7 linked regions of the Macaca mulatta genome follow. The protein of the gene in region 3 interacts with the protein of the main gene of each other region in a pairwise test. Links are inferred from orthologs where the notes say so. Each region holds a gene or a part of one and is shown on either strand. Other genes may lie near its edges.

Region 1 (3,948 bases), on a different chromosome or scaffold from region 3:
TTGTAGATGAGAAGACAGGCTCAGAAAGGTTGTATTACTTGTCCAAAATCATCCAACTAGAAAGTGACAGAACTAGATCCAAACTCAGATCTACCTGGTTAAAAAAACCCACTTGCAAGACAATTCAAATTTCTACAAAGACTTCAAAGCAACCTAGAAAACATTTATGACAAGTCGGAAAATGAAAACATAGAAGTGTTTACTAGATTAAAACTACAAAAAAGTATGTTTGCATGTGGACAAACAGCAAAAGGAAATCATTGCATAAGTGCAGTTGATAGCAACATTAAAAAAATTTATACAATAAAGGGTACAGAAAAAAATCAGTTTAAGTTGGATAAAACAAATACCAGTGTCAACTATGTAGTTTTTACTACGTAAAATGAGCAGAAATGAGTTTGATATATGATATGCTTGATGTAGAAACTGAAGACTTTCAAGAAAAGCTTTAGTTATGAGTAATCTGAGCTTCCACATCCTATAAGGTCAATTATTTGGTTATCATCAGTACTCCAAACAACAAAATGCTATCATTAAATATGACCTACCCAAATGTATAGCTGGAACTAAAACTTGAAATTTACATATATAATTTAGCAAAAGGTCACAACATGGTCACTGAACGTAATTTAACCAATTACATAGTTTTCGTGTTTTCTTCACCATACTCAGTGACCATGTACTTTATATTTATGGCTTTCAACTTATTTCCCTACTTAAGAATGTCAGGTTCTGACTAACATTCATTAATACAAAAACTTGGTAGGAACATGAATTTCAGTAGTTTCTTGAATGTCTTAGGTCTGATCAGTGAAAAGAAACAAAACATCCAGGAGGGATGTTTTAAATTAGAATAAGAAATATATAATAACAGAGAGAATAGTACTTTTACTAAACATTGGACTTAATTGCAATATGCAGTCACTTGGCCTGAGGAGCACTAATAAGTATTTGACTTTTTAAAAAATGCAAGAATGTGAAAAAAAATAGCAAACTAGCAATAATCCTAGAAAAGGTACAAGTGTTAAACATCACTATTTCTCCAGTTTCTAAGATAGGTGGTGCCTAATAATTGGTTAGAAAAACCTACAAAACTACTCTTGGGTTTTGTCAAATTATTACTGATAGTACAAAGTATTTGCACCTTGAAGTAACAAGCAACATTCTAAAGAAAATCAGTGCTTACTTGATAATCATTTCTCTTAATATTTGGAACATCCATGTTGTGAGTAGAAGGACAAATATCTTCATATTTTTTGCCCGTGAAAATATCAATTCCAACAAGGTGAACCTAACAGAGGAGAACAGGAAACCTGTTTAATCTCTGCCAAGTATATCACTCATTACACACACAAGAGCACAATACCAACGCTGATTACGACAGATTCCTTTTCTCCGCCTTCCAAGGTCATCTGATTTTACTTAAAAAAAAGTAGTGGTCTTACAATTAGGAGGCAGTAAACAACTAAACAGTATCACATGTCAAGACCCAATATAGTCCAGTGATTCAATTATGAGATTACACAAGAAAAATAAAGTGTAGGTTTCTTAGAATTGCTGGAACAGGTTTTCTTATCTGTAAACTGAATAGATCTTCTAAGTCACTAGGATTCAGGAAAGTTTCAGTTCCCAGTTAATGAACATTGTTAAGGGCCCAAGAAGGGACTGCTACCTTTCAGTATTCAACGTAATAACTGATCACCCAGTAATTGTGGGAAGGAAAAAACAGTGCTTATTACAAAATTTTAAGTATAGAAATCTCATGATCTGTAACGGAACACAAATGATCAAAGTTCCAACGCCAAAGCCAAAGCCTGATCTGCAAGGGCACTTACCTTGGCATGCCCATGCTTTCCAGTTTTGGAAGTTGACATTTCCACTATTTTGCATGGTCGTCCTTTGAGCACCACGAAGCCGTTTTTGCGCAAGGCCGAACACTGCATAGGGTAAGTGCTGGAAGCCCCGGCATCTCCAGTAGTGAAATCAATTTCGTCCGCCATGGTGGGCTGGGGAGATGGTAGTTTTTCCGTGGGAACTACACACAAAAAGTTTGTGTTTGCTTTTCAACAACGGGTATGTAGGCACGGAAACGTCTCATTTCGGACAAGTTATGTGCCAAGCATCACGGGCCTGTTATTTCTGCATGTAAGGAACACCCACCCTAGACTAGTGGACACTTTCTAACTCTGGCCTCTACAAACTTTTCCAGCTATTGCTTGGGGAGGTGGGATGAGAAGTCGCAGAAGAGCTCGCTGAGGGTGGGGACACCCGCCCTGGGCGCTCCTCCGCGCTGGAAACAGCAGGTTGCGGCCCCCATCGCCCCACCGCAGAAGCCGGCGACCTTCCCGCGCCGCCCAGCACTCGGCCGCCGCCCCGAACCCTGCTGCGGGGTATCCAGCCCAGGCCGCACGTCCCCGCGAAGGATGCGGGGTAACAGAACCTGGCCGGCGGCACCCGGCCCTCTGCTAGCTGGCGCGCACCCCCCCGTCCACCCTTCAACGCCGCCGCCGCGGCCGCATAGGCGCCCCCTGTTCTGCCGGCATCCTCGGCTCAGCTCGGCCCGGCCCCACCAGGGCCTGAGCCCCGGCGGTCCCGCGCTCGCCTCTGTTCCCCCATCCATTCTCCTTCCTTCCCTCGGTCAGCGCTTGGCTCTGGACGCCTTCCCCGGCCCTGCCTCGCTCTGGCCCCATCCCCACCAGCTTTTCCCCAGGTCCTCACCTTTCAGCTGGCAAAGAGTGCCTTTCGTCTGCGTACCCGCGCTGGTCCCCTACAGCTGCGGCGCCGGCGGCGGCGGTGGCGGCCGCGGCAGTTCCAAGAGACGGGGCGGGGCCGCCACACTTTCCACACCCCAGCCTCCCCGCCCTTACCCGCCCCCACCTCAGCCCCATTTCCGGGATAGGCCCCGGAGCGTCACAGGCACCGCCCTCTCGGGCTACCATTGGCTACCAGATTCCTGAGGCTCCGCCCAGTCACGTGAAGAGCGCCCTGGCAACCCCACGTGCTGCGGATTAGTGCACTTCCGGCGTGGAGCGCACTTTCAGCAGTCTGATTGCCGAGGGTGAGCTCGCTGGCGGAGGAACTTGCGCCTTCCAACTCTTAGGTTTGTTGCGTTGGGGTCGCAGTCGACTTTAATGGGAACCAAGCAAGGCATCCAGTGGCCTCTGCCATCAGGTGCGTGGCAGTTATCACATGACAATTGTCAGAACTCGCGAGGCGCGCCGATTCAGCGAGTGCCAGTGTGGCTGGCTGTGAAGCGAACTTTAGGTTTGAGCTTCTGGTTCAGCTTGCAGCCTTTCTTGGGGTTCGAACCGCCTCCTGGTCCTTGAAGAAGAACTCAGGTGCGGTATTTTAATACCTAGCTCGGCACCGCGGGTCCTGAGGACCCCATTCACCCCTTGGTGAGAATTTTGGCAGCGACTGGCGCGGGGTGCCCCTGTAGAGTCAGCGCTGCTCCCCCGGGTAGGAACTCCTGAAGCATCCGCCAGCTAACAAGCCAGCAGTGAAATGAATTAATCCACTTCTCACAGCAAAGGCTGTTGTGAAGTTGTGGAGGCGAAGGGTGTCTGACTTCTACGGCATTGTGGGTCCAGAGAGGTGTTCTGCCACCTCATGCCTTCTTTCCTCCTGGCATTGGCATTCCTTAGAGTTTGGGGTTTAACTGTGCCACATTAGAACGCTTAGATGGTCTTCAAAATTGATCTAGAGCTTGTAGACTGCAATAGAAAGGTTCTTAAAAGAGATGTACTCCCCCTTCACAGTTTCATTTCACAACTCACCACAGTATCCTCTTGGGGAGGTGACCTAGGAAATTATTTCCCGTTCCACACCCGCATTTATGTGGTACTTTGATTTCCTATTGCTGTCTCATGAATAATCCCATACCTCACATTCCTATGTGCCTCTACAGTTTTCACATATCTTTCAAACATGTCCAATTTAACTTTTGCA
Region 2 (4,216 bases), on a different chromosome or scaffold from region 3:
CTTGGGGGCAAAGGAGAGGGGAAACATATAGAAAATAATCACCCTTAATTGTGTCCAGTCTTTTTTCTAGGCATATAGTTTAAGTATGTTTCACACATGGTCGTACAAGCTATTTCCTGAAGTTCAAATTTAACAACATATGTTATTATTTTGTCATTAAATGTTTTACTACAATGTAACATTTTATACGACTGCTAAGTATTGTATTTTATGGATGTACTAAAATCATATTATTCACACTTATTGTTGGACATGAGAATTTTTACTCTTAGAAAATTAATCACGTATAAGCCCAGGCACAGTGGCTCACCCCAGTCAGCACTTTGGGAGGCTGAGGTGGGCAGATCACTTGAGGTCAGGAGTTCAAGACCAGCCTGGCCAACATGGTGAAACCACGTCCCTACTAAACATCCAAAAATTAGCTGGGCATAGTGGCAGGTGCCTGTAATCCCAGCTACTTGAGAGGCCGAGGCAGGAGACTCACTTGAACCTGGGAGGTGGAGGTCACAGTGAGCCGAGACGGTACCACTGCATTCCAGCCTGCGTGACAGAGCAAGATTCCATCTCAAAAAGATGGAGGCAGGCATGGTGGCTCAGGCCTGTAATCCCAACACTTTGGGAGGCCAAGGAGGGAAGATCCCTTGAGGCCAGGAGTTTGAGACCAGCCTGGGCAACACAGTGAGACCATGACCATGTCTCTACAAAAAATTTAAAAATTGGCCAGGCATGGCAGCATGCACCTGTAGTCCCAGATACTCCAAAGGCCAAGGTGGGAGAATCGCTTGAACCCAGGAGTTTGAGGCTGCAGTGAGTTGAGATGGTGCCACTGCACAACAGCCTCTCCAAAGCGTGATAAGCCTATTCTTTAAAAAAAAAAAAACTTAAAAAAATTACTGTGCTCTACCTCTAATCTGATGCAATGATCCCACACCATTTTCTCCTTCTTTTCCTTCTCTTTTCCTTTTTTTTTTTTTGAGACGGAGTCTGGCTCTGTCGCCCAGGCTGGAGTGCAGTGGCGCGATCTCGGCTCACTGCAAGCTCCGCCTCCCGGGTTCACGCCATTCTCCTGCCTCAGCCTCCCGAGTAGCTGGGACTACAGGCGCCCACAACCGCGCCCGGCTAATTTTTTGTATTTTTAGTAGAGACGGGGTTTCACCGTGTTCTCGATCTCCTGACCTTGTGATCCGCCCGCCTCGGCCTCCCAAAGTGCTGGGATTACAGGCGTGAGCCACCGCGCCCGGCTTTTTTTTTGTTTTTCAACGAATACTACTCCCAATTCACCTAACTAAAATTTGATGTTAGTAAACTAGAACCTACTGGGCACAATATAAACTACACACACTGACGCAATGGCTGTACTCCTCAAAGATGTATGCAGTTGGTGCTCAAATAATGTAGTTTTTTTTACTAGACTCTTTTTAAAATTTAACTTTAATTTTTGTTGAAGTAATGTTTGTATTTGGAATATAAAATAATTCTATAAGGCTTATAACAACAAACTATAGCCCTTGGCCCTACTCCTCTTCATACGGAGCCGGATTGAATTTTAAAAAGCATGCCTTCCAAAATTTCTCTCTCCATTTCTTAAGAAACATGCTTATACTACCATTTTCAGTTTTTATTTTTTTGAAACAAGTCTCGCTCTGTCGCCCAGGCTGCAGTGCAGTGGTGTGATCTCGGCTCACTGCAACCTCCACCTCCCGGGTTCAAGCGATTCTCGTGCCTCAGCCTCCCAAGTAGCTGGAATTACAGGTGCCTACCACCACACCCAGCTAATTGTATTTTCAGTAGCGAGGGGGTTTCGCCATGTTGGCCAGGCTAGTCTCGAACTCCTGACCTCAGGTGATTCGCCCAAAGTGCTGGGACTATAGGCGTGAGCCACCTTGCCCGGCTATTTTCAGTTTTGGATAGTATCTTTTGACATACATTGTTTCCCCTTTGAGACACCAGCTCTAGAGCCCTCTATTCCACTCCAAGCCGCCTGTGCTCTCTTGGCCTGCTTACAGATTCCACTCTGTTCAGGAAGAAGGAGGCCACGTTTATACAATTATTCTTCCTGGACACGAATACTCCTCTCTCCAGAGATCAGGAACTGCCTACAATCTTGTTAGGAAGCCCCACAGCACCTAAGGGTACGGATGTCGCCAAACGGTAGACGATTCTCTCCCTACTCACGTCTCCACTAGTGCAAGGCTGGCTTTCTTACCCTTAGAGAAATACAGAAATGACATCTTCTGCAGGCCAACGTCTAAACACCCAGGAGTGGGTTTTTCCACCCAACCGCAGCGCACGGAAAGCACCTAAGCCGACTTTGAGGCCGGGCGGAGCCTGGCGCTGCAGGAAGAGGCCACAGCCACAGCCCTACTGACGAGCCCGAGGGGTGAACTCCCCGGCCGGAGGCCCGAACCCTCAAACACCGGGAAGCGGAGGTGGGGCCGGCCGGGGGCACGGTCCACCGGTTCCCACCCCGGCGTGCAGGGATTCCGGGGGGCGCTGGCCGAGCCGTTTCCACAGCAACAGGCCGGGCGCGCGTCCCCGCGCGTGCGCAGCTCCTCGCCCGCCCCCGGGTGGGCGGAGAGGGGAAAGGCGGGGCCGGGACGGCCGCCTCACGCCGCGCGGGAACCTGTGGGGGCCGGGGCTACAGGCCGCGGGGAACCGCGGGCGCCAGGGGCGCACCCAGCCCTCTGTCCCGGCCGGTAAATCTGGGGCAGCGCGCCGTAGGAGCTGCGGGCAGCCAGGCCCCTTCCTGCGTCCGCACCTGGCCCCGCGCGCCCCTCTCGGGCGTCCGGCCTCCGGCGTCCTGGCGGTTCGGGTGGCGGCGGTTCGGGCGGTCGCCTGGCTGCTCCTCGGGGCGGCGACCGGGCTCACGCGCGGGTCCCCCGCGGTCCTCGGCGCCGCGCGCTCTGACGCGGGTAAGGGGCGGGGCTGCGGAATGCGGGCGGGGCTTGGGGGCCGGAGCGTGGGGAGCGGTCGCGGCTCCCCGGCCTCTCCGCGGGTTGCGGGGATGTGGGGACCCGGCGCGGGACTTAGATCAGCAGGGCCAGCCGGAGGAGGTCAAACGCTAGAGCCGCGTGCCCTCCTCCCGCCCCCGGCGCTCCCGTGCGCTTTGCTCTGCGGCGGATCCCGGGTCTCCGGAGAGTGGGGCTCGGGCCCTGCGGTTCCCAGGCTGGACTGGCCGCCCTGTCACTAAGGTCCTGAGAAGGAAAGTCAGCCGTCAGGCGTCTTGGGACGCTCTTGGGTTGCACGAAGCTTCTGATCACCAAGGGGCCAGCAAGGCCTTAGCGCCCTGTGAGGCCTGAGAATGCCTAAACCGAATATAGGACTGCGTGCAAACTGCTAGTTGTTCGTGCAAGTAGTAGTTGGCAAACTGCTTGTACTACTGAGGCAGGCAAGTGCGAGAATAATTACAATAAAGTGGTAAGGTTTGACGGGAGGAAAGCACAAACCCGGCAAGTTTCTGCATCTGTAAAATGAGGATGTTTCTGTCATCCTTGGTACCATTTAGATCCATTGAGTATGTGTCAATCAGTGCATTTCTGCTTGTGTGTTTACATACTGGGTTTTCAAGTTTATCTAAACAAAGGATTATGAGGCCAAGAATTTCTTTTTTTTTTTTTTTTGAGATGGAGTCTCACTTGCCCAGGCTGGAGTGCAATGGCGCGATCTCGGCTCACTGCAACCTCCGCCTCCCAAGTTCAAGCAATTCTTCTGCCTCAACCTCGCAAGTAGCTGGGATTATTACAGGCGCCCGCCACCATGCCCAGCTAATTTTTTGTATTTTTAGTAGAGACGGGGTTTTGCCATATTGGTCAGGCTGGTCTTGAACTCCTGACCTCAGGTGGTCCACCCTCCTCAGCCTCCCAAAGTGCCGGGATTACAGGCGTGAACCACCATGCCCGGCCAGAAGAATTTTTAAACAGTTGGATTTGGTCATCTCTAGAGGCTTCCAGCATTGGCATTTTATAATTAAAAAGGGGTCAAAATTAGCCGGGCCTGATGGCGTGGGCCTGTAATCCCAGCTACTCGGGAGGCTAAGGCAGGAGAATCGCTTGAACTAGGGAGGTCAAGGTTGCAGTGAGCTGAGATCGCGCCGTTGCACTCCAGTCTGGGTGACAGAAGGAGGCTCTGTCTCAAAAAGAAAAAAAGTAAAAAGGAGTCAATTGGCCGGGTGCGGTGGCTCAAGCCTGTAATCCCAGCACTTTGGGAGGCCGAGACG
Region 3 (4,249 bases):
TTGCTTGTAAGATTATGATTTATGTTACTTTTACATCATGGCTATCACATAATCAACACTTATACCTATTTACATATGACATCTGGTGAGAAATGAAGAAATGCTCTTAAATGCTTTGTAATGAATAAAAGTACTTTTTGAGGTTTTAATACTACCTTACTACAAAGAGAATCTAAACTAGACAACGAAAAACTAAGCAATTTCTTTTTCTTTTTTTTTTGTGTGTGTCACTTTTCTGGTTAAATTGCTGTTTCAAAACAGAATAGGAATTTAGAATTTCATTACTGAATCTTTTTCTATCTCTAAGGTCTTTATAACAGATTAAGGAAAAGTACACAGATTCCTTTAAACATTTTCTTTTTTTTTTTTTTTTAATTCCAGGCTTGGCAGTTTTCTAACAACTGAATTACAATTTAAATAACTTGCTACATTTTAAATAGTGCCATTTTAATGCAACTCTTGAGAAAAGACCAAAAAAACAAAAAGTTAATCACCCTTCAACTTCTAAACCTTTAAAATTTTCTATTTCTTTAAACATTTCCTCCTTACTTTTAGGGAATCCTTCCTCCTCACAACAGCACAAAATACAGTGTCAATGAACAAATTTAAATTGTATTACATTTTAAAATCCTGTGGGTCTTAACAATACTCTATACAGAAATGGTTGTTTCCTCTCTCATTTGAAAAAATTGTAAGTATTACATTTATGCAATACATCAATAAAGTTTGATTAAATCGCCAAGAGGCTGAACTTAACTTACAATGCTAGGCATTCTTCATTACTTCCAAACAAAATCTTTCTGATAACCAATAAATTAACAAAACATTTGAAGTCATCTTAGCACTTCTAATCTACACATGCTTTGAATTCACAAATTTACAGGATTATCTGAAAGTCTGGTGTCACTTAAGTGGGAAAAGGGAAAGCTGAAATATTTTAAACTTCACTTAGTATTCTCACAACCACAGACAAACTGAAATCAAATGTCATGTGAAACACCCCAATTTCCTTTTCTGCCTACAGCAGTAGCTATGGCATTGTTCTGCTCAACCTTTTAGAAAGGTTCTTTAAACTTCCTACTTCCTCATCTCCACTAGACATCAACCAACTTCTGAGGGTCACTGGACCAGGCAGTTTTGGGATGCGAGTCAAGTTCATAAACGGTGCCCCGTCTTCACTCTCTTAGGTACAGCATTTAACATATGCATTTAGCCCTCCCTGCCTTTGCTCACGCTGCTTCCTCTGTCTGGAAAGCGCCCCCCACTCACCTTGGCAAAATCCTGGTAAAAGACCAACTCGAACCCAGGCTACTTAATTTCTCCCACCACCCCGGCTCTCCCGTCCCCCCAACCTTGAGCTCCAGGCACCCCGAAACCACGTCTGTGCATACAGGAGGCTCTTCCCTGCTCTGCAATGTTTCTTATAAATTTATTTCCCCCCAAAGGGAGAGATCGAGCATTTATTAAGGGAAAATATACAGTCAAATAAGTGATAAAGTTGTATTCACTACTACCCATTATTTTAAAGCACGGATATTCTAAAACTCCTCTTTCCCCTTATTTCCAGCGGGAAGGAAGGGGGATTCAACGTCTCTATTCGTCAGATTAGAAACTGTGTGCTTTATCTCACAGTAAAAATTACACACTCTATTTTTTTTTTTTTTAATAGAGACAGGGTCTCTGTCGCCCATGCTGGAGAGAAGGGGCGCGATCTTGGCTCACTGCAACCTCCACCTCGCCCAGGTTCGAGCGATTCTCCTGCCTCAGCCTTCCGAGTAGCTGGGATTACAGGCGTGCGCCACCACGCCAGACTAATTTTTGTATTTTCAGTAGAAACGGAGTTTCAAAATGTTCGCCAGGCTGGTCTCGAACTTCCGACCTCAGATGACCCGCCCGCCTCGGCCTCCCAAAGTGCTGGGATTACAGGCGTGAGCCACCGCGCCCGGCCTACACCTGGTCGATGCAACATTAACACTTAAAATACCACGGATTTTTAAATTCGTGTTAAAATACCACGAATGATTTTTAAAGCCGTGCAGCATTTTGTACAACTGTCAGTACAAGGGGGATCACCTCTTTGCATTTGACGAAATTAAAAAGGGGGAGAGAGCTTGCCCGAGGTTTGAAGGTTCCTCATTCTTGTTCTAAAACATAAAACCACCACTTCAATACATATCCATTTTTAACATGAGAACTCCTCGTCCTCCTTTAGTTCGCTTATGACTTCCCTAATCCTAAAATCAAGTCATTAGGAATTTATAAGTTTCCTGCTATGACAACAGGATCAAATTACAGACCGCGGCTTGGATTTTGCACGCAAGCCCTGAAACAGGTAACTTTTTTAAAAGCTGACAATTTTACCATATGAGATTTTAAAGACAGAACGCGCCCCAGCCAAAACTGAGCTCCCTAAACTCACAGCGGCAGGACCCCAAGAAAAGCTCCTTCCCCCCGGCCCAGGTCCCCGACCCGGAACACTCACCGGAGGCCATGGCTCCGTTCCCCGCACCTTCCCGCAGGCAGTTCCCGGCGTCCTGGCCAGAGGCGGCCGTGGTCAGTCAGTCAGTCAGTCAGGAGGCCGAGGGACCTCTGCCGGCGGGGCCCCCAGTCCCCCGACCACCCCAGGGTCCTCCTCCTTCTTCCCGCCCTCCGCTGGGTTTGCGGCTCACACCTTCCCACCCCCTGAATTCTTGCGCTCCGGGTCACCAGCGTCGCCCGTCCACCGTGCGGGAGCCAGGGGCAGGGGGCGCAGCAGGGCGAGAGCCGAGTGCCGGCCAGGCCGAGAGGCTGGCAGCCTGGCGGGAGGGGAATTTCCCGCGGCTGACGTAGGCCCGGCGCAGCCTTCAAGCCGGAGGCGTGGGGCGGGGCGTCCTAGCTGCCGTCGCGCGCGCGACCGCCCCCAGCGCCCCGCCCTGCCCGCCCCCGCTCACGCTCACCGTCCGCCCCGGCGCGTACGCCCCCGGCGCTGCTGCGGCGGCGGGCTTGGGAGGGGGTCGAGGGAGCGGGAGCTTGGGGTGGGCTTCGGGAGCACAGGGAACGGCGGCAGCCGGGAGGTCGCAGCGTGAGAAGGCCGCCGGCTCCCGCGAAATCCCCCTCCTCCAGGTTGTTCTTCCGAGTGTGGTTTAAAGTTCAGGAGCGGGCGGGGGGGTGCGGATGACGTAGAGAGGGCCGGCCGCCCGGGAGCTTTTAGGGGCGCGCCGGGCGGCCGAGCGGGGCCGACCCTCCAGGCCGGGGAGGGCGACGCCCGGGGTTTTCGAGAGGTGGTTCCCCCTCTTCCCGACTTCGCGCATGCAAATCTCCACCCCCGCGCCAGCGCGGAGGGGGAAGTGCGGCTGCGGCAGAGCCTGTCTTCTTCTATAATTCCTCTATTTGCATACGGGGACCCCCCCACCCGGCTGATTTTTTCCTCTTTCTATCTAAATTGCGAGGGTACTGTGAACTTTACGTCTTTTACCTACTGAAACCCGTTTAAACTCAAAAGGTCCGCACATCCAGGTCGTTGTCTCATTACGCAGTGCGCTGAAGTTTAGTGGACACTGTATCCTGAGATTTCACACAGATACCAAGAAAGGGGGAAATGGAGCAAACATTTAGTGCATTAAAGGACCTAGGATAACTTCGTTTCCTTCATTTGAATAGTACCTGCTATGCGTCAGATAATGTCTATACCTAATCTATGACGTATTTATTATTCCTAATTGTATAGATGAAGTATTCGGGGTTCAGAGAAGTTACTTCAATATACAGCACTTCCAAATGCTGGTAAGAAAAGGCACAGTTTAAAAAAGCCAGGGTTGTCTGACTCCAAAGCTCCATACCCTTGCCCCATCCCTTACTAGTTAAAATAAGTACGGAGAGGGAATGGGGAGTATCAGCCTGCCATACAAGTGCCCAAAACTGGGGGACCCAGGTGGGCAAATAATTAAAAATATCCCGCCAACTCCAAAGTATTCTTTCCACGAAATGCACAATGTACAACAAAAGAATGAAACAGTTTTATTATTGGATACGTACTAAAACATACCATGATGCACATCACAGGCAATCCGCTGAAGAGGGTGCAAAGACCAAAAAAAAAAGAAACCTAATCCTTTCATATGGTCAGGCACATACAATCCATTATATACCTGTTAATTGTCTTTATCCAAAGGAAAATAATGGAAAGTTGTATCTTGGAGCCAAGAGCCAAGGCTTAAACCCCCGTAGAGACAGAGACGTGGAGCACCATCCTTGTTCGCTTTCCAAGAGA
Region 4 (3,500 bases), on a different chromosome or scaffold from region 3:
ACTTTAACTTTTTGTGATATATCATGTTTGACCAGGTTGTTTGTGAGTACAGAAGGCTGCAATCAAAAGAAATTTATCCTTTCTCCTTAGTTAGCAATATCTAACACTATTCAGAGCCATTTTTGTAATCAACTTTGTATTAATTTTTCCAGGTTTTTCATGTATCAAAGGTAAGCTTACAATTTTGCAGTTTACAAACCCATATGAGTTCCTTTCCCTTTTCTAATCCTAAGTATTAAACTAGTTCTTCATCAAAAGAATACTGGGTTGAAAGCCAGAAGGCTGAGTTCTAGTCCTACCCCCGTCTAAGCAGCACCGGATCTGGGACAAGATAACTAGCCTTTCTGTTTCTTAAGTTTTGAAACATAAAATGGGTAAAATATTGTATTGCCTTACTCATGGATAATGTGTGCAGAAATAAATTGTTTTGCCTACTGAACGGGCAGTTAATGAGTACCTACAAAGTCTAGAAAGACATGATTCCTGCCCTTAAGGAGTTACAGTTACCATATCATAATTCGACAAGGCGCTTGAATTTTAACAGTAACTGAAAGAATCTAGTACTACAAAACCTTTGTTGGTCAGAATTCTTATGGAGAGTGCTCTAGTTGGCCTACATTTTGCTGTTTTGTTGTTTTCTTAAAAATTTTTGTTTTTAGCCAGGACTCCCTTTTTATTTAAAGCTTTGTACAATCATTTTCTAAAATCTATTATTCAGTTGTCTTTACCTTAGTTTGTATCTTTTCAAATACATGTATGTAGTTTGAAAAGTCACCTGACACCTCCTACCCCCAGCTCCTAATTCCTATTCCCAGATATAACTTATTTCAACTTCTGCTATTTATGTCCATATTTCTAATAAAATGGTTAGGTTCCTAGTCTACATTTTTTTTCCATTTTAAAGACTTTATACTTTGAATTTCTATCAATAATTTATCTCATACAATTCAGCTAATTAATGAGATATGCAGAACTTGAGTGTATGTCTATTTCCAACTGCATGCTCTTAACTATTAGTCACATAACCTCTCAAGATATCAGGCAAGATATCACAGGTAAATGCAGAACTTACTAAGACATGGTCCCTAACCTCAAGGAAATCACAGTATACTAAAAAGCCACATAGATACACACATGGTTTGAATATTAAGCAATTTCATAGTTACTTAATAAAAGAGGCAAAAGGTCTGTTAACATTTGAGGTGTTAAGAGTGAGAGATTAATGATCTAAGAAAGATTATTGGGAGAGATAGGACTTGATCTAGGTCTTAGCTCAGGGGCACCATACTTAATACTATCCAACCTCCCTGAAGGCTGGGTACTAGATACAATGGTTGGTTGAGTCAACACATAACTCTGACAGCTGTTAACCTATAGCTTACAGACAAAATAATCATACACAGTACTGAGATAGAAGAGAATCTTTAGTATATAAAAATTAGCCTCACCAGTGCAGCCAAATAACGAAGCACCTTGTTATCATTCACCAGCATTTTAATAACATCTTTTTTTGGAGCTTTTGGAATGAGAGCAAAGCAATTCTGAGCAGAATCTTCCACTAGCCCAAAACCATTATAAGGAGGCAACTCCTGGAGATATATAGGAAGCAAGACGTAAGGCAAATGCTACTTGTGTTAAAATTACATTAAAGGTAACTATAAGTTTAATGAAAAAAACTCTAGAAAATACTTATTCAAATATATTTTCTATATAAACAAATACAGTCAGAAAAAACAACTTATCCCCTTCCTCTTTGTGGATTTTGCATCATGTTCAGTGATCACAGAAGTAAGTGATGAGGCTCTAAAGTAACTCTCAGGGCTAGAGAGAAACTATTGCTGATGTAAACTGACCCCTTACTACAAAAGCAGGACCTAGTCCCACCCCAGTCCCAATGCAAATGACCCTGTAGTCATCCTAGCATGGTTCTGTCTATGACTTCTTTGCTCTAGGATGTGGACCTCACCCTAGCAGACCTGGAAACTGTTTCCTCAGTTCACCCAAAGTAAGAGAGAGAGAGAGGGATGGGGGGAAGGGAGGAAGTAAGGGAGGGAGGGAGGGGGAGAGGGTGAGAGAGAGAGAGAGTGAGTGAGTGTATGTGTGATAGGGGAACGGTGGTAAGAACTTGATTCAAGCTACTTTTTCTCCTACTTACATCCATATTTCTAATCTTTTTATTTCTTAATTTCTGCCTCACAGAACAGGATGACAGCTATAGTTTTCTGAGAACTCAGATCCCTTTTCCACACAGGACCCCCTTTCTTCATGAAAAAGTTCAATTTAGGAAATTATTTTTCAGATACAAAGGTTATTTAATGAGTTTGCGTGAAGATATAGGTTGAGCTTGTATGTTTCATTTAGGCTCCATGAAGAGCCTGAAGCATCACTGTAGGATGCTAAGATTTATTTCCCTAAGAACTTTAGGTCAAAGACTAAGTCTTCCTCCTCCTCATCTAATGATAGGCAAACATCAGCAGGGTTATTTATTCCTGACTCCTCTTTGCTATTCTTTCTCAGGAAATTCAGCTTGTAGCACACATTTTCTCTTGTATATACCTCCACAAAATCTTTTTATATATTATTTTCAGGCACTTTAATAAGTAAGTCCATATAGTCCCTAGTACCATCCATAACAGAGTATTTCTTCAACCACAAAGGACTATTAAATTTGTCCACGGCGTACTACTTGGAACACTGACCCCAAAATCACTTGTTGGGACTGTAGTTAATGTGGTAGTCATGGCTAGAATATGACTAGTAGATTTAGCAGATGGAAAATGACCTAATTTGCTTCAATTGCAAAACCACTACTCAGTGAATTTACAGGTTACTATGGGCAGAGGAACCCTGAGCTGATGGCCTACGTGCTAAGCAGTTGAGTTTTCTCTGGAGGCTAGGCACAAACTGCAAAGTGGTGGTATCTGAACTTGCTTTGCACTTATACCAACAACACACAATGAGAGCATCCGGGCTGCGGGTGCCAGTAGGGAGGTCACTGAGGGTTGAGGATTTTGCAATAAGAAGGTAGCTATAAAGCCTCTGGGCCTTCTTCTCAAATTCCTATTGTATTTTAACAGACTACCTGTTTTTCCTGAATATACCTCACTTTCCCTGCCTGGAATAAAGACCTTCCCTAAATATCAGTCCGTATGCATGGTATCCTGGCATCTTGCTTCTCATACTTCAAGCTACTGCTTGGGTGGGTCCTGTTGTAAACTAGATGAACACTCATCTGACTATGGATATCATCACTCCTAGATACTCCCGCTCATACGATCCACTTACCACAGTTTCTGTCTGGACATCTTCAACTGAGCTAGTAGTATACATAGAACCCAAGAGTACCACAACCTTCAGATACTGCTTTCAGGGGCCGTCTCCACAGCAGATTAGCTTTCCTAATTCTGATTTCTTTCTTTTCCCTACCAGTATGCCTCCAGATGGAGCCAGCCTGAGAGAAAACACATCTGGCTATTGCATTTATGTTTACTAATTCCTGA
Region 5 (4,271 bases), on a different chromosome or scaffold from region 3:
GGGGTAGCTGGTACCAAGGGGGTTGAGTCTGTGCCTCCGCTGCACTCTGGCCCAGGTACGTCAGGATGCCCAGAGCTTTCTCTTGCCTCTCCTGAGGGGGCCAGGAAATACAAGAGATGGGATATAATCTTTCAAGGTGTCAGGTGTGTCTCCCTGACATAGGAATCTAAGCAAACAGGTACCTAAGGCTTGTCATGAACCAGTTGTACCAGGTGCTGGGGATGGAAGACACCAACAGAGGCCAAGTTCCCCGTGGGGGGACAGTGGCAGGTAACAGCAGGGGAAGGAGGGGACAAGTGGAGCCACTTGAGTGTTCAGAGGCAGGCATCTTTGCAGAGAGACTTGAAGAGAAGCCTGAAGGGATCAAGCAAAGCAGAGGAGCCATGGGTGGGGTCAGCAAGTCCAGAGACAGCAGGTGAGTGACAAGAGCTCATGTACCTGTTTTTTTTTGAGATGCAGTCTCGCTCTGTTGCCCAGGCTCGAGTGTAGTGGCACCATCTCGGCTCACTGCAACCTCTGCCTCCCAGGTTCAAGCAATCCTCCTGCCTCAGCCCCCCTAGTAGCTGGGATTACAGGCACGCACCACCATGCCCGGCTAATTTTTGTATTTTTAGTACAGACGGGGTTTTGCCATGTTTGGCCAGGCTGGTCTTGAACTCCTGACCTCAGGTGATCCATCCACCTTGGCCTCCCAATGTGCTGGGATTACAGGTGTGAGCCACCATGCACGACCAGACATACTTTTTACACTTGATCTTAGCCAAAAGGCAAGAGGCGAATGATTCGCCTTTTTTTTTTTTTCTCTTTTTTTTTTTGAGATGGGGTCTCGCTCTGTCACCTGGGCTGGAGTGCAGTGGCGCAATCTCAGCTCACTGCAACTTCCACCTCCCAGGTCAAGCGATTCTCCTGCTTCAGCCTCCAAGTAGCTGGATTACAGGCGTGCACCACCACACTTGGCTTATTTTTTTGTATTTTTAGAGATACCATGTTGACCAGGCTGGTCTTGAACTCCTGACCTCAGGTGATCCACCCGCCTCAGCCTCCCAAAGTGCTGGGATTACAGGCATGAGCCACAGCTGGCTGATTTACATTTTTAAAAGCCTATCAAGGTTTCAGACCCCTCCAGTTTTGAGAACTGAGCAGTTTGCCTAGCAGCTGGGGACCTCTAGCATCTACCTCCAAGCCCTGTGGGTGCCCAGATGGCAACACTTCTTAAGTGTCATGCTTTGGTATGGTTCTAAATTCTGTGTGTTCGTTCTCGTTTGACCTTGATCACAAGCAGTGGCTAAAGTGCCCTCTCCCCCCAACTCGATTCATGGCTCCTCTAATGAAGTGGGTGAGGCCAGCTTACTTTCTCCTGTCGCTTTTCTTCCTCGTACTCTTTATTGCCTCTGATCACTCCTTTCCCTTCCTCCAGCAGCTCCCGAAACAGGTCCACAGGGCCAGAACTTGGGGCTCCCGCCTCTGCTGCTTCAAGCTCAGGCAGTGAGTTCTGATGTCTGGCTTTCTTTCGTAGGAATTCTGTACGGGCCTGGGGAGAAAGTTATAGGCAGGGCATTCAGAACCTAGAGGTGATTCAAGAACTGTGAGTCTGGTGCCCACCACAGAAAATGGCAGTCCAGGGTGCTGGGGTTATAAGAAAGGGAGCACTAGACGCCTAAAAGAGGCACCTGTCCTAGCTGCGGGTGAGGGTAGGCAGATGAGGCAACGCCTGGGTTTTGTAAACTGCCTTTCAAATCGTAAACCACGGGTCATCAAGGATGGCTGGAAGGAGGTCCCTGGCCTAAACCAAAGGGGTTCCTAACCTCAAGTGAGACAATTAAAACAGCCATAAAGGTAGACCAAACTGCATTAGGCCAGACGATCTGAATTCTAGCCATGGCTCCAAGTCACTACCCCAAGTCGACTGCTGAAGCCCTGTCCCCCGCCTTCGGGACGCAGATTTCAAACAGCGCTCAGCAGCCTACTGAGATTCTAAAAACCCAGACTACCTCCCACCCACTGTGGAGGATCAGACTAGCTAAGGAACTGAAAGTTGGGTGTACACCAAACAGATTTAAGGAGCCATACAGAAAGCCCGTGTTTGTGTGTATGTGTCTAGGGGGCGGTGCAGGAAAGGGCTCGCCCGATGGCGTGGAGCCTGGCTGTCCCCCTCTCCTTAAATGTGCCTTCCCCTCACTGAAGCCATCTCACTCCGTGCAACGGAGATGACAGTGCCCCTCTAAGAACGAACAGTGCCTCCTGGGGATTCCGCAAGTCAGGCGCTCTGCATGTAGTTAGCATACAATAGGTGCTCAATAAATAAACTGCGCAGGCAAACTAAAACGTGATCCGAATTTCCTTGAACTGTCCAAGCGCTCATGTATTCATTAAATGTTTTTAAGCTGCTCTTTTGTGCTAGACACTGTTCCAGCCATGTGAAATACATCAGTGGGGGGAAACTAAGACGAAGGCGAGATCAAGGGAGGTTTCGTGGAAGTGGCCACAAGGTTTGCAGAGCAACGTCCTCGAAAACGGGATCGGCGCCTGGTCCCGAATTTCACACGGGGCACACTGAGCCTGCGCAACGCCTCCGCTTCCGGCCCCCAACCGCGGCGCGTGCGCGCTGGGCTCCGGCGGTCAGCCCGGCCGGCCTCCGAGCTTACCTCTTGCTGAGCCAGCAGCGCCCTCCGCTCACGCTCCTTCTCCTCCTCCCGGGCCTGGGCCTCGTCACGCCGCACGCGGGCGACATTGTCCTTATTCCGGACGTGCCAGCTCTTCTTGGGCAAGATATTCATGGCGTCGTAGCTGTCCAGGGACTGGCACGCCCGCCTCTTTGCACTTCCGATTGGCGAGAGGATGCCCCCCTTCCTCTTGTCCCTACTTCGACCGCAGATTGGTTCCGAATTAGTTGGTACGGCCCCCTGGCCTGTAACGACAGGTGATTGGCTGAGACGTCCTTTTCACAGCGAATGTTAGGCGTTCGGCTCGTGGTATCCCCTAGCAACCGCCTCTTATCACAGATCTGAACCAATCATAAGTTGGCCCGCCCCGATGCTACCACATGCGGCCGTCGATTGGTCGACATGACCGTCAAGTCTCCTTGCGGAAGTGCGCTCCGCACCGACAAACATGCCCATACATTTGATTGGCTCCTGCCCTGCGGTAGCCCTGCCCCCACCTTCAGGACGCAGATTTCAAAGCGCGCTCAGCAACCTCGGCTGTATTTATTGATACAAGAAAGATCACCCGAGAGTCAGGGACGTGGCGGCGAGGGGCCCTGGAAATCTCCAGATATCAAAGCTGGAAGGGCGTGGAGTCTTCTCCAGTTCTCCTAGTTTACAGATGTTGTGACCTAGGCTTACAATGGGCCTGGGGTCTGAAAGTGGGGCGTGAGCTGCGGGGGTCAAAGAGCCGGTTCGGTGGAGGTCAGCGCCACAGCGCGCCGTGCCAGGAAGACTTTATTCTGCGCCTCCTGCGGCAAAGAGAGGTGGAGGTGTGACAGCCCTCTTCCCCAGCCCCTCTCCGTGTTCCCCGGGGGCCCTCTCAGGGACCCGCCTGGCTCACCGTCTCCCTCTGACGTTTGAGCTCAGAGATGAGGCGTCCGTAGGAGTTAGCCCGAGCCACAGTGTACGCCATCAGGATGCTGGAGGAGACAGGAACGGAAGCCACTCCTGACACGCTCTTCGAAGTCAGGGATGTGGACCCCTAAGTCCCTCCTCGTCCAGGCTCAAGGAGTTCAGTCTCCCAGCACCTCCGCGTTCAGATCCAGGAGTCCTAAGTCCCGCCCACCTCCTCCTTCGGACCCAGCAGTCCAGGAGCCTAGGCCTCCTCCCTCAGACTCAGTACATTGCCTGCTCCCACCCCCAAGCCTTTCCTCTCTTGGACGCAGGTGGTGGCCCCCAGATCACACGCATTCAAACCCAGACCCAGAAGTCTGGTCCACCTCACCTGGAGATCAGCAGAAGGGGCGCAGCAAAAGCCTGGGTCCCCAGGAAGAAGAGGAAGTTCTGGGTGGTCTCAGGGAGGCTGGAAATAGACTCAGGGATCTGGGCCCAGATGGACGACTGCCCCCGGAATGGACCACACGGCTTAGAAGGCGGGATCCTGAAGTCAAGACAGGCTGGGTTCAAGTAGAGCCAGGAGTCTGAACACTGAATGGGGGGAGAGGGAGGGAGAGAGGCGGGAACCTCTCGCACTTACAGGAAGATGCTGTAAAGCAGGGGAACGCTGGAGATGGCCAGACCCAGGAGAAGAACCAAGGGGAAAAAGAAATTCGCCGTGGAGGCCCG
Region 6 (3,500 bases), on a different chromosome or scaffold from region 3:
CCTCTGCCCCCAACAGGTGTTACCCAAACTTCTTTCTCGACTCTGGGCTCCTCTCCCTGATTGTACTTCCCCACCAAGACCTCAGCAACCTCACGTTTTCAATTATCACACACGTATAGGCTGTTCCAAATTCTTACCTCACCTAAATGCTGCACTGCTCATTGGATAGCCCACCAAGATATCAGACAGACAGTTCAAAGATACCCGTTTTTAGTTTTTCTGAGATAGGGTCTCGCTTTGTCACCCAAGCTGGAGGGCAGTGGCGCAGTCACAGCTCTCTGTAGCCTCAACCTCCTGGGCTCAAGTCACCCTCCCACCTCAGCCTTCTGAGTAGCTGGGACCACAGATGTGTGCCACCATACCCAGCTAATGTTAGTTGTTGTTGTTGTAGAGATGGGGGTTTCCTTATTTTGCCCAAGCTGATTCTGAACTCCTGGGCTCAAGTGATCCTTTCACTTCGGCTTCCCAAAGTGTTGGGATTACAGTGCGTGAGCCATTGCACCCAGCCAACATCCAATTTTTGATGTCCAATCAGTCAGCAACTCCTGTTGATTTACTTTTTCAAATGTCTCTGATATCCTTTCCCCATGCTCATGTGTTTGTTCTTGGAATAGCCAAAGCAATGTGGTCTTCCTGGCTCTAAACTGACCTGCCCTTACATTTCAGGGCTACTTAGGTGAAAGAAAAAGATATGAACATTTATTGCATACCCATTGTACACTAAGCCCTTTATATACATGACTTAATTCTCACTTCATCACCATGGGTGCTATTATTAACCCCTTTTATAGATGAGGAAATGAGACTCAGAGAAGTAACCTGCACTAGATCACACAGCTGGGAAAAAACAGCAAGGATTCCCACCCAGGTCTGCTTAACTGAAGCTGTGCTCCTTCCCACTTACCACTCTGATGGGTGAGATTTGAGCAGATGTCAGAGTGTGAGGCAGGTGGGTTATAAGTGGCCCTTGGAGGGGGTTCTCACCTGTGCATCAGGCCCTGGCAGCGGCTGTCCAAAGTCTTGCCCATTGGCAAAGGCCTCCAGTACCGACAGGAGGTCCCTGTTGCAAATGGCTGTCCAGAGTCTCCGAGGCTCAGGTGTGCACCGGCGTGCAAACCTGTGCTCCACATACTTGGCCACGATGTAGTCCCTGCGGGTGCCCCTACCAAAGACAACCACAGGATCTCAGAGCACGGACCGTGTCTGTCCAGCTGATCCCTGGGGCCCTCCCACAGGAGATACAGCTCTCCTTTTTTCCAGAACCATGTCCTGAAGATGTCCAGATCTGAGGCTCCCCTTCCCCAGCTCCTCAGGCTTTTTTTTTTTTTTTTTTTTTTTGAGACAGAGTCTCACTCTATCACCCAGGCTGGAGTGCAGTGGCGCAATCTCAGCTCACTGCAACCTCTGCCTCCAGGGTTCAAGCAATTCTCGTGCCTCAGCCTCCTGACTAGGTGGAACTACAGGCATGTGCCACCACGCCCAGCTAATTTTTGTATTTTGAGTACTGGCGGGGTTTTGCCATGTTAGCCGGGCTGGTCTTGAACGCCTGACCTCAAGTGATCCGCCCGCCTTGGCCTCCCAAAGTGTTAGGATTACAGGCGTGAGTCACTGCGCCCAGCCTCCCCAGACTTCTGATCTAAGACCTTTCTGCGACCCTGGGAGCTGCGGAGGCAGAATCCCGTAGGCAGGACGCCCCTCTCTCTGAGAATCCCCTTACATGTCACTTTCAGGTGAGGGTTTAGGGCCGCCATGTGAGGGTAGCTGGGCCTCCATGACCTCATTGAAGCTCATGTTTCCCATGTTCAAGGCCAGCTGGAGTCGTGGGAAAATAGGGGTGGGGCAGAGTAAGACCGGGTGGTTAGGCCTGCACGGGGTGGAGCTCCGAGTCCCCAGAGTCCCGCCCCTCGGGCGCCCTCCCGGTTCAGGCCCCGCCCCTGACCACCAGCTACCTGGCTTGTCCCCGCCCACCTTGGCCAGGTCCCACCCACAACCTGCAAGTCTCGCTGCCGGATGAAACTACACCCCTATCTCCGTGTCTGGCCCCTTCCGGGCCCCGCCCCGCCCTCACCAACAACTCCGAGGGGCCCAGCAGGTCCAAGGTGAGTGACTGCATGCGCGAGAAGCGCACGCCCAGTTCGCGGTGGACGCCCGAGCACTGGATGCAGGTGAGCACGCCCAGGTTGGTGCTGAGCCACGTGGGGTCTGCAGAGGAAAGCAGCTGGAGCCTGGAGGTGCAGCCCCTCCCCTCTACTTCCCCCTCCCTCCAGCCCAGGCCCCGAGGCTTGACCTGCAGCCCCGCAGTCGCAGCACTGGCTATTCCCAGGCCTGCTCTTCACCTCCGCGATGAGCAGCTTTGTGAGGTCATGGGGCTCCCCGTCATGCCCGGCGGCCCCCCAGGACCCCAGGCCACCGCTGGGCTCCCCAAGGAAGGCGCTGCTCAGGGCTTCGTCCTTGCTGTTCTGCAGCACTGACACCCACCTGCGGAGATTGAGCGGGGTGGGACGGGGATGTCAGGCGGGAAGAGATAGGGCTACCGCCCCAACCCACAAGGCTGGCCGGGCACTCACGCCTCACACTCGTGCTCGTCCTCTGCCTGGAAGTGGTACGTCCGGTTGTCTGTCGGGAGAGAAGGGGGCTTCTGGCCCACAGAAATGCTGCTGGCCTTCCCGAAGCCCAGGGAGCCCCCGCCAAAAGCCGCTGGGCCACATGGAGATGTGTCCCTGCCAAGTTGGACTCTCAAGCTAGGAGTGGGAAGGGAGCGGAATGACAGTGGCCGACAGCAGGGGCAGTTTCTCAGAAGTGGCCTCCGAAGTAGGATCCCAACAAAGCTCTCTCTGCATGAAGCCCTGGTTCCAGGCTCAGATGAGGTCTCCCAGGGCATAGAACCCCAGAGAACCCAGCTCAGAGGCAGGGCATCCTCTGAACCAACTGTCACCATCCCACTGGGCTCCTCCTGGTCTCCTCCAGGGCGACCAGGCTACCTGTCTGGTCTCCCTGCTTCCCATTTCCTCTTTTCTCCAGCCTGTACCAGCTCCCAACTGTTGTGCCCAAGGCTCTGCTCTAACTACACCACTGCCCTACTGCCCTGCTCCAAGATCTCCCATGGCTCCCTATTGCCAGGAAATAAGGTCCAAACTTTTAAGAGGGATTTCCAGGCCTCATCTCTCACTCTGCTACATGAACCCTCCACTCTGGCCAAACTGGGCGGCCCCACTCTCCTGCTTCCATGCCTTTCATCATGCTAATCCTGTCTCCTCAAAAGCCCCCACCCCACAAACTCTTCATTCTACATGTCCTTCAAGGCTAAATTCAAATACTCTCTCCTCCAAGAGCCTTTCCTGGTTCCCCACAGCAGTGCAGGCCTTCCTGCTCCCTAATCTCCTATGGGGCTATATCTGCACCCATCTTCTGGACAGCCCCCTCATCTTACAGTCCTGGGTACCCACCCCACACCCCTGCCAGAGAGCTTCCTGAGGACAAGATCTAGGTCTTTCTCAGCC
Region 7 (4,156 bases), on a different chromosome or scaffold from region 3:
CCCAGTTCCCTGGGAAGTGACGAAATGATAGGAAACATCAAACACACCCCAATCTCCTCAAGCCCTCCATTTTTCTATCTCATCCAGTCAGTCTACCTGGAGAAACTACATGTATTTCATGCTGACAGCTCTAAAAGCGATTAGAAACATTAGAATGGTAATCGCTGCTATCAGCTCCATCTGTCCTTTCTTACAGAGTGAAAAAACAAGTTGGCTCTTCCTGAAAGTCCTTGGAATTGAGAGCAAGGTCTTCAAGGCAGCTATGGATTGTCGCTTTTTAGCCACGCAACATTTTGAAGTACTACTGGAGAGTAAACAAGTCGTGGAATCATTGGCTCTTCCACCTGCGGAGCAGCAGCGGGGCGTGAAAGAGGCACAGCCTCAGCCACCACAACTATAAAGTATGGGACAAAAATTAAGCAGTCAACCAAATGATGTCCTTAATTGATCCCCAAGACTAGGGGAAAGTATTCAATAAGCAAGTAGTTGCTGCTTACAGCCGTGCCAAAAGGGAAGAAGATCACAAGTGCAGAGCTGCTAGAAGGGCAAAAATGATACTGATACATAGAAATTTTCAGAAAAAGAATTTCATGTAGCCACCTCAGGGCAAAGGTGAGAAACTACCACCTATGGTCAGCAACTCGTGCAACCTACCCTCTGAAGTTGTCCACCAGGGCTAACAAACTACAAATTCAGCAACGCTATAGAGGAGAGCCACTCGTGCATGTTAGGAAGAACCAAGGATCGGGGATGTCTATTGTCCCCATCCTAAAAATGTGGCCAACAGATTAGTCAGAACACCAGGAAAACAAGAACTCCGCCTCTTTATCCTATTTTGAGGCGGCACTGCAAGAGGGATTACCATCCAACACCTCTGTCCCCGAAAAATCCTTTTAATTCAAAAAACCATAGCCCGGTTCGGCGCGGCAGAAAAGAACCAAGAAAGGGAAGAGGAGCCCGGAAATCAACCCGCTGCAGTACTGCCACCAACTGCGGGCGTGGGACGCTTACCTTGGAGTCGGGGAGGCTGAACACGCTGGGGTCGTCCGTACTGCCCACCATGATCTTGTGCTCCTTCCCCGGGGCATGACCGCCTGCGCCCTCGGAGCGTGCAGCCTTGGCACCGTGGCGCTCCCCGGACACCCGGTCGCTGGTGGTGTTTCCCATGGCTGCAGCTCGTCGGGGACCACCTACCGCGGAGAACCACACCGGGCTGGGAACACCTCAGTAGCCGCGTCAGGGGCGCCCCCCGGCCCCGCCCATACGCCTTGGGACGGGGCAAGGGATTTCCCCGCCCCAGGGAGGCCAAGCCCCGGAGCCTTCTCCCTCCTGGCCTGCGGGAATGCCTGCAAATACCCCGGTGCCCTCGCTGCCCCTAGTCAGGAAACCCGCTATCGGGACTCCCCCGCGTCCCCGCGCTCACTGCCAGGGGCGCCCCCACGCCAGTCACCTCGGGCGATGCGCTCCCTCCTCCAGGGACCACTGAAGTGATGACTGTTCTGCAGATCAGGCCACCAATAAAGTTATTGAAATTGAAGCCGCACCCCTCGCTGGCGATCAGCGATTCCTCCTAAAATGGCTACAAGGCCGGCGGCGCGGAGTCGGCCCCGTGCGCGTTCCCTGCGGCCTGCAGCCTCGGCGTCCCGGGCCCGCCGGCCTCTCTAGCCGCCGCCGCCTCGATGGTGGGCAGTCGCACGCAGCCTCCAGCGCCAGGAGGGGGCGCCAGGCAGGGCTTGTGCCGCCTGGGGAGACTGCACCCGGGATAATTGGAGCGCTGGGCCTCTGAGACTACCCGGCGGAAGGGACGTTCCCACAGGACACTCGGAGGCCGCCTCCCTGGGCTCCGGCGCTCGGTGCCGGGAGAAGCGACGCGGCTTTCTACCCCGCCTCAGGTGCGCCAGCACGTTTTCTGGGCAGCATCTGTGTGTTAGGCGACGGGAGAGGGGGGTTCCTTACAGGGAATAAGAAAACTGAAACTGACTTCCAACTGCAGGCAGAAGGAAGCAATGGCCATTGCTGGAGGTTAAAACTGTTCTGGCCGGGCGCGGTGGCTCACGCCTGTAATCCCGGCACTTTGGGAGGCCTAGGCGAGCGGATCACGAGATCAGGAGATCAAGACCATCCTGGCCAACAAGTTGAAACCTGGTCTCTACTAAAAGTACAAAAATTAGCTGGGCGTGGTGGCGCGCGCCGGAAGTCTCAGCTACTGGGGAGGATGAGGCAGGAGAATAGCTTGAACCCGGGAGGTGGAGGTTGCAGTGAGCCGAGATCGCGCCACTGCACTCCAGCCTGGCGACCGAGCGACACTCCGTCCCTCCGCCTCCCCGCCCCCCCCCCACAAGAAAAACCTGCTCAATAGGGAGCGACAAGGAAGGAGCTGTCAGCCCGACTGGGGTCGCAGGGAAAATTCAAGATGGCGTATTTAGGAGCTAGACCTTGACAAATTAGTAAAATGTTAGTCTTAGGAGAATAACGAAAAGGCTTTCCTAGTCTAAGAAACAGCATATGCAGTGAGAAACCTCAGAAGAAATAAAATTCAAGGAAGATGGCGACAACGAAAACATCAGAAGGAACCCTAAAGGTATAAAAAAGGCAAAGACAGTCGTAGGGTTGGGAGGGATCCAGGTTTTTTATGAAAATTAGTGGAATCCCTAAGGTACTTACCTTTGTATTAGAAGTATTTGCATGTCGCCTTCTCTACTAGAAACGTTTATCTGTGTTACACAGACCAGCAGCGTTGGCATCACCTGGGAGCCTGTTAGAAATGTAGAATCAGGCCCCATCCCCAGGGTTCAGAATCTGCATTTTAACAAGATCACATTAACGTGTGTGAGAAGCAATGCTTTGACAGCTGGCAGAGAGCAGATCCAGATTTGATACCTTTTCATATTCTGCATGTACCTTGTACAGAGCAGGCTTTTGTATTTGCGGAATGAAGGATACAGGAATACTGTTTACTGTAATCCATTTCTATCAAGATATGCCACTTAGGCTTAAACACGGCCAATGATGGAGAACCCCAAGTTACATAGGCCACCCTTTCTGAGTGAGCAGCTCTATTTGTTGAAAAGTTCATTTTTATATTATGAAGTTGACAGCCCACTTAAGTACAACAAATTCACTACTCCCCCATTCTTTGCTCTGCCCCTTATAAACTCATTCTTTGGCTCATAAACCGAAGACAGTTTACAGGAAGGAAAAAAAAAAGGTACGATTTTACTGCAACTTCTTGCTCACCCCTCTGAAATCTTTACTGTCTGAGTACATTCTTTTTGGTTATCCCTACCTTTCTCCCTCCACCCCTCAATTCCTTACCATAGGACACTGAAGCAAGGCCCTTCAAGGTGTGATACATTAAACCTTGACTTGTGTAGTATTCAGTTTTCTGACCCCAAGGTGGTTTCACCATGCCAAATAATATGTCCTTGGTATGTATTTCCTTGCAGTAGTGAAATCAGCTTAGCAGAAACAAACTAACTATGTTAGCCAATGGAAAACTGAAGGAGAGAAATAAACTGTTTTTACACAGCTAAATGGAAATGACTTTTGTATTATCTCCTTTGGAAGATTATCCATGACACTGTTCTGCCCTGCTCTGCTCTAACAACATTTGTAAGTTACTCAACAGTTAATAATAAAAGTCAATTTTGAATATTGCATGTTTTAGACACAGAACAAATGTAATATGACACTGTAGGAAGAATGAATTCTCCTTAGTCCCAAATTCCTTTTTTTTTCTTAGATTCAGGAATAAGTAGGTAAAGATACAAGATCTTCTTAACCAGTATCAGTATAATTGTTCCCTTTAGATTTATTGCTGTCACCCCAATGCTCTTCTTTCTTTTTTTTTTTTTTTTTTTGAGACGGAGTCTCCCTCTGTCGCCCAGCCCAGGCTGGAGTGCAGTGGCGCGATCTCGGCTCACTGTAAGCTCCGCCTCCCGGGTTCACGCCATTCTCCTGCCTCAGCCTCCCGAGTAGCTGGGACTACAGGCGCCCACAACCGCGCCCGGCTAATTTTTTGTATTTTTAGTAGAGACGGGGTTTCACCGTGGTCTCGATCTCCTGACCTTGTGATCCGCCCGCCTCGGCCTCCCAAAGTGCTGGGATTACAGGCGTGAGCCACCGCGCCCGGCCCCAATGCTCTTCTTTCTAAAGG

Evidence for each region.
Region 1: the proteins of REL (region 3) and EIF5A2 interact in binary tests that used the Homo sapiens proteins (3 or more experiments, as listed by UniProt). The two-hybrid records come from large-scale screens. The link is inferred for Macaca mulatta from reciprocal best matches to the Homo sapiens genes REL and EIF5A2.
Region 2: the proteins of REL (region 3) and CEP19 interact in binary tests that used the Homo sapiens proteins (3 or more experiments, as listed by UniProt). The two-hybrid records come from large-scale screens. The link is inferred for Macaca mulatta from reciprocal best matches to the Homo sapiens genes REL and CEP19.
Region 4: the proteins of REL (region 3) and EFHC1 interact in binary tests that used the Homo sapiens proteins (3 or more experiments, as listed by UniProt). The two-hybrid records come from large-scale screens. The link is inferred for Macaca mulatta from reciprocal best matches to the Homo sapiens genes REL and EFHC1.
Region 5: the proteins of REL (region 3) and LENG1 interact in binary tests that used the Homo sapiens proteins (3 or more experiments, as listed by UniProt). The link is inferred for Macaca mulatta from reciprocal best matches to the Homo sapiens genes REL and LENG1.
Region 6: the proteins of REL (region 3) and ASAP3 interact in binary tests that used the Homo sapiens proteins (3 or more experiments, as listed by UniProt). The two-hybrid records come from large-scale screens. The link is inferred for Macaca mulatta from reciprocal best matches to the Homo sapiens genes REL and ASAP3.
Region 7: the proteins of REL (region 3) and PRKAB2 interact in binary tests that used the Homo sapiens proteins (3 or more experiments, as listed by UniProt). The link is inferred for Macaca mulatta from reciprocal best matches to the Homo sapiens genes REL and PRKAB2.

Annotation. Positions count from the first base shown.
Region 1 is NC_133407.1:82,589,699-82,593,646, forward strand, and holds the start of EIF5A2 (eukaryotic translation initiation factor 5A-2), read right to left. Parts: upstream 2,801-3,948; 5' UTR 2,719-2,800; intron 2,036-2,718; 5' UTR 2,001-2,035; coding exon 1,836-2,000; intron 1,292-1,835; coding exon 1,187-1,291; intron 1-1,186. UniProt on the Homo sapiens protein: Translation factor that promotes translation elongation and termination, particularly upon ribosome stalling at specific amino acid sequence contexts.
Region 2 is NC_133407.1:2,250,604-2,254,819, forward strand, and holds the start of CEP19 (centrosomal protein of 19 kDa), read right to left. Parts: upstream 2,801-4,216; 5' UTR 2,759-2,800; exon of another isoform or gene 2,639-2,758; intron 2,521-2,638; exon of another isoform or gene 2,232-2,520; coding exon of another isoform or gene 2,207-2,231; intron 1-2,206. Other genes in the region: PIGX (GPI alpha-1,4-mannosyltransferase I, stabilizing subunit precursor), read left to right, coding at 2,801-2,912. UniProt on the Homo sapiens protein: Required for ciliation. Recruits the RABL2B GTPase to the ciliary base to initiate ciliation.
Region 3 is NC_133418.1:63,901,032-63,905,280, forward strand, and holds the start of REL (proto-oncogene c-Rel), read right to left. Parts: upstream 2,801-4,249; 5' UTR 2,493-2,800; coding exon 2,483-2,492; intron 2,333-2,482; exon of another isoform or gene 1-2,332. UniProt on the Homo sapiens protein: Proto-oncogene that may play a role in differentiation and lymphopoiesis.
Region 4 is NC_133409.1:129,832,990-129,836,489, forward strand, and holds part of EFHC1 (EF-hand domain-containing protein 1), read right to left. Parts: intron 1,590-3,500; coding exon 1,449-1,589; intron 1-1,448. UniProt on the Homo sapiens protein: Microtubule inner protein (MIP) part of the dynein-decorated doublet microtubules (DMTs) in cilia axoneme, which is required for motile cilia beating.
Region 5 is NC_133424.1:66,391,288-66,395,558, forward strand, and holds the start of LENG1 (leukocyte receptor cluster member 1), read right to left. Parts: upstream 2,801-4,271; 5' UTR 2,778-2,800; coding exon 2,646-2,777; intron 1,532-2,645; coding exon 1,352-1,531; intron 92-1,351; coding exon 1-91. Other genes in the region: voltage-gated chloride channel TMC4, read right to left, coding at 3,386-3,454, 3,547-3,625, 3,931-4,086, 4,183-4,271.
Region 6 is NC_133406.1:217,566,509-217,570,008, reverse strand, and holds part of ASAP3 (arf-GAP with SH3 domain, ANK repeat and PH domain-containing protein 3), read right to left. Parts: intron 2,617-3,500; coding exon 2,568-2,616; intron 2,479-2,567; coding exon 2,288-2,478; intron 2,203-2,287; coding exon 2,069-2,202; intron 1,813-2,068; coding exon 1,718-1,812; intron 1,163-1,717; coding exon 985-1,162; intron 1-984. UniProt on the Homo sapiens protein: Promotes cell proliferation.
Region 7 is NC_133406.1:118,946,444-118,950,599, reverse strand, and holds the start of PRKAB2 (5'-AMP-activated protein kinase subunit beta-2), read right to left. Parts: upstream 2,801-4,156; 5' UTR 2,665-2,800; intron 1,497-2,664; exon of another isoform or gene 1,451-1,496; intron 1,191-1,450; 5' UTR 1,168-1,190; coding exon 1,012-1,167; intron 1-1,011. UniProt on the Homo sapiens protein: Non-catalytic subunit of AMP-activated protein kinase (AMPK), an energy sensor protein kinase that plays a key role in regulating cellular energy metabolism.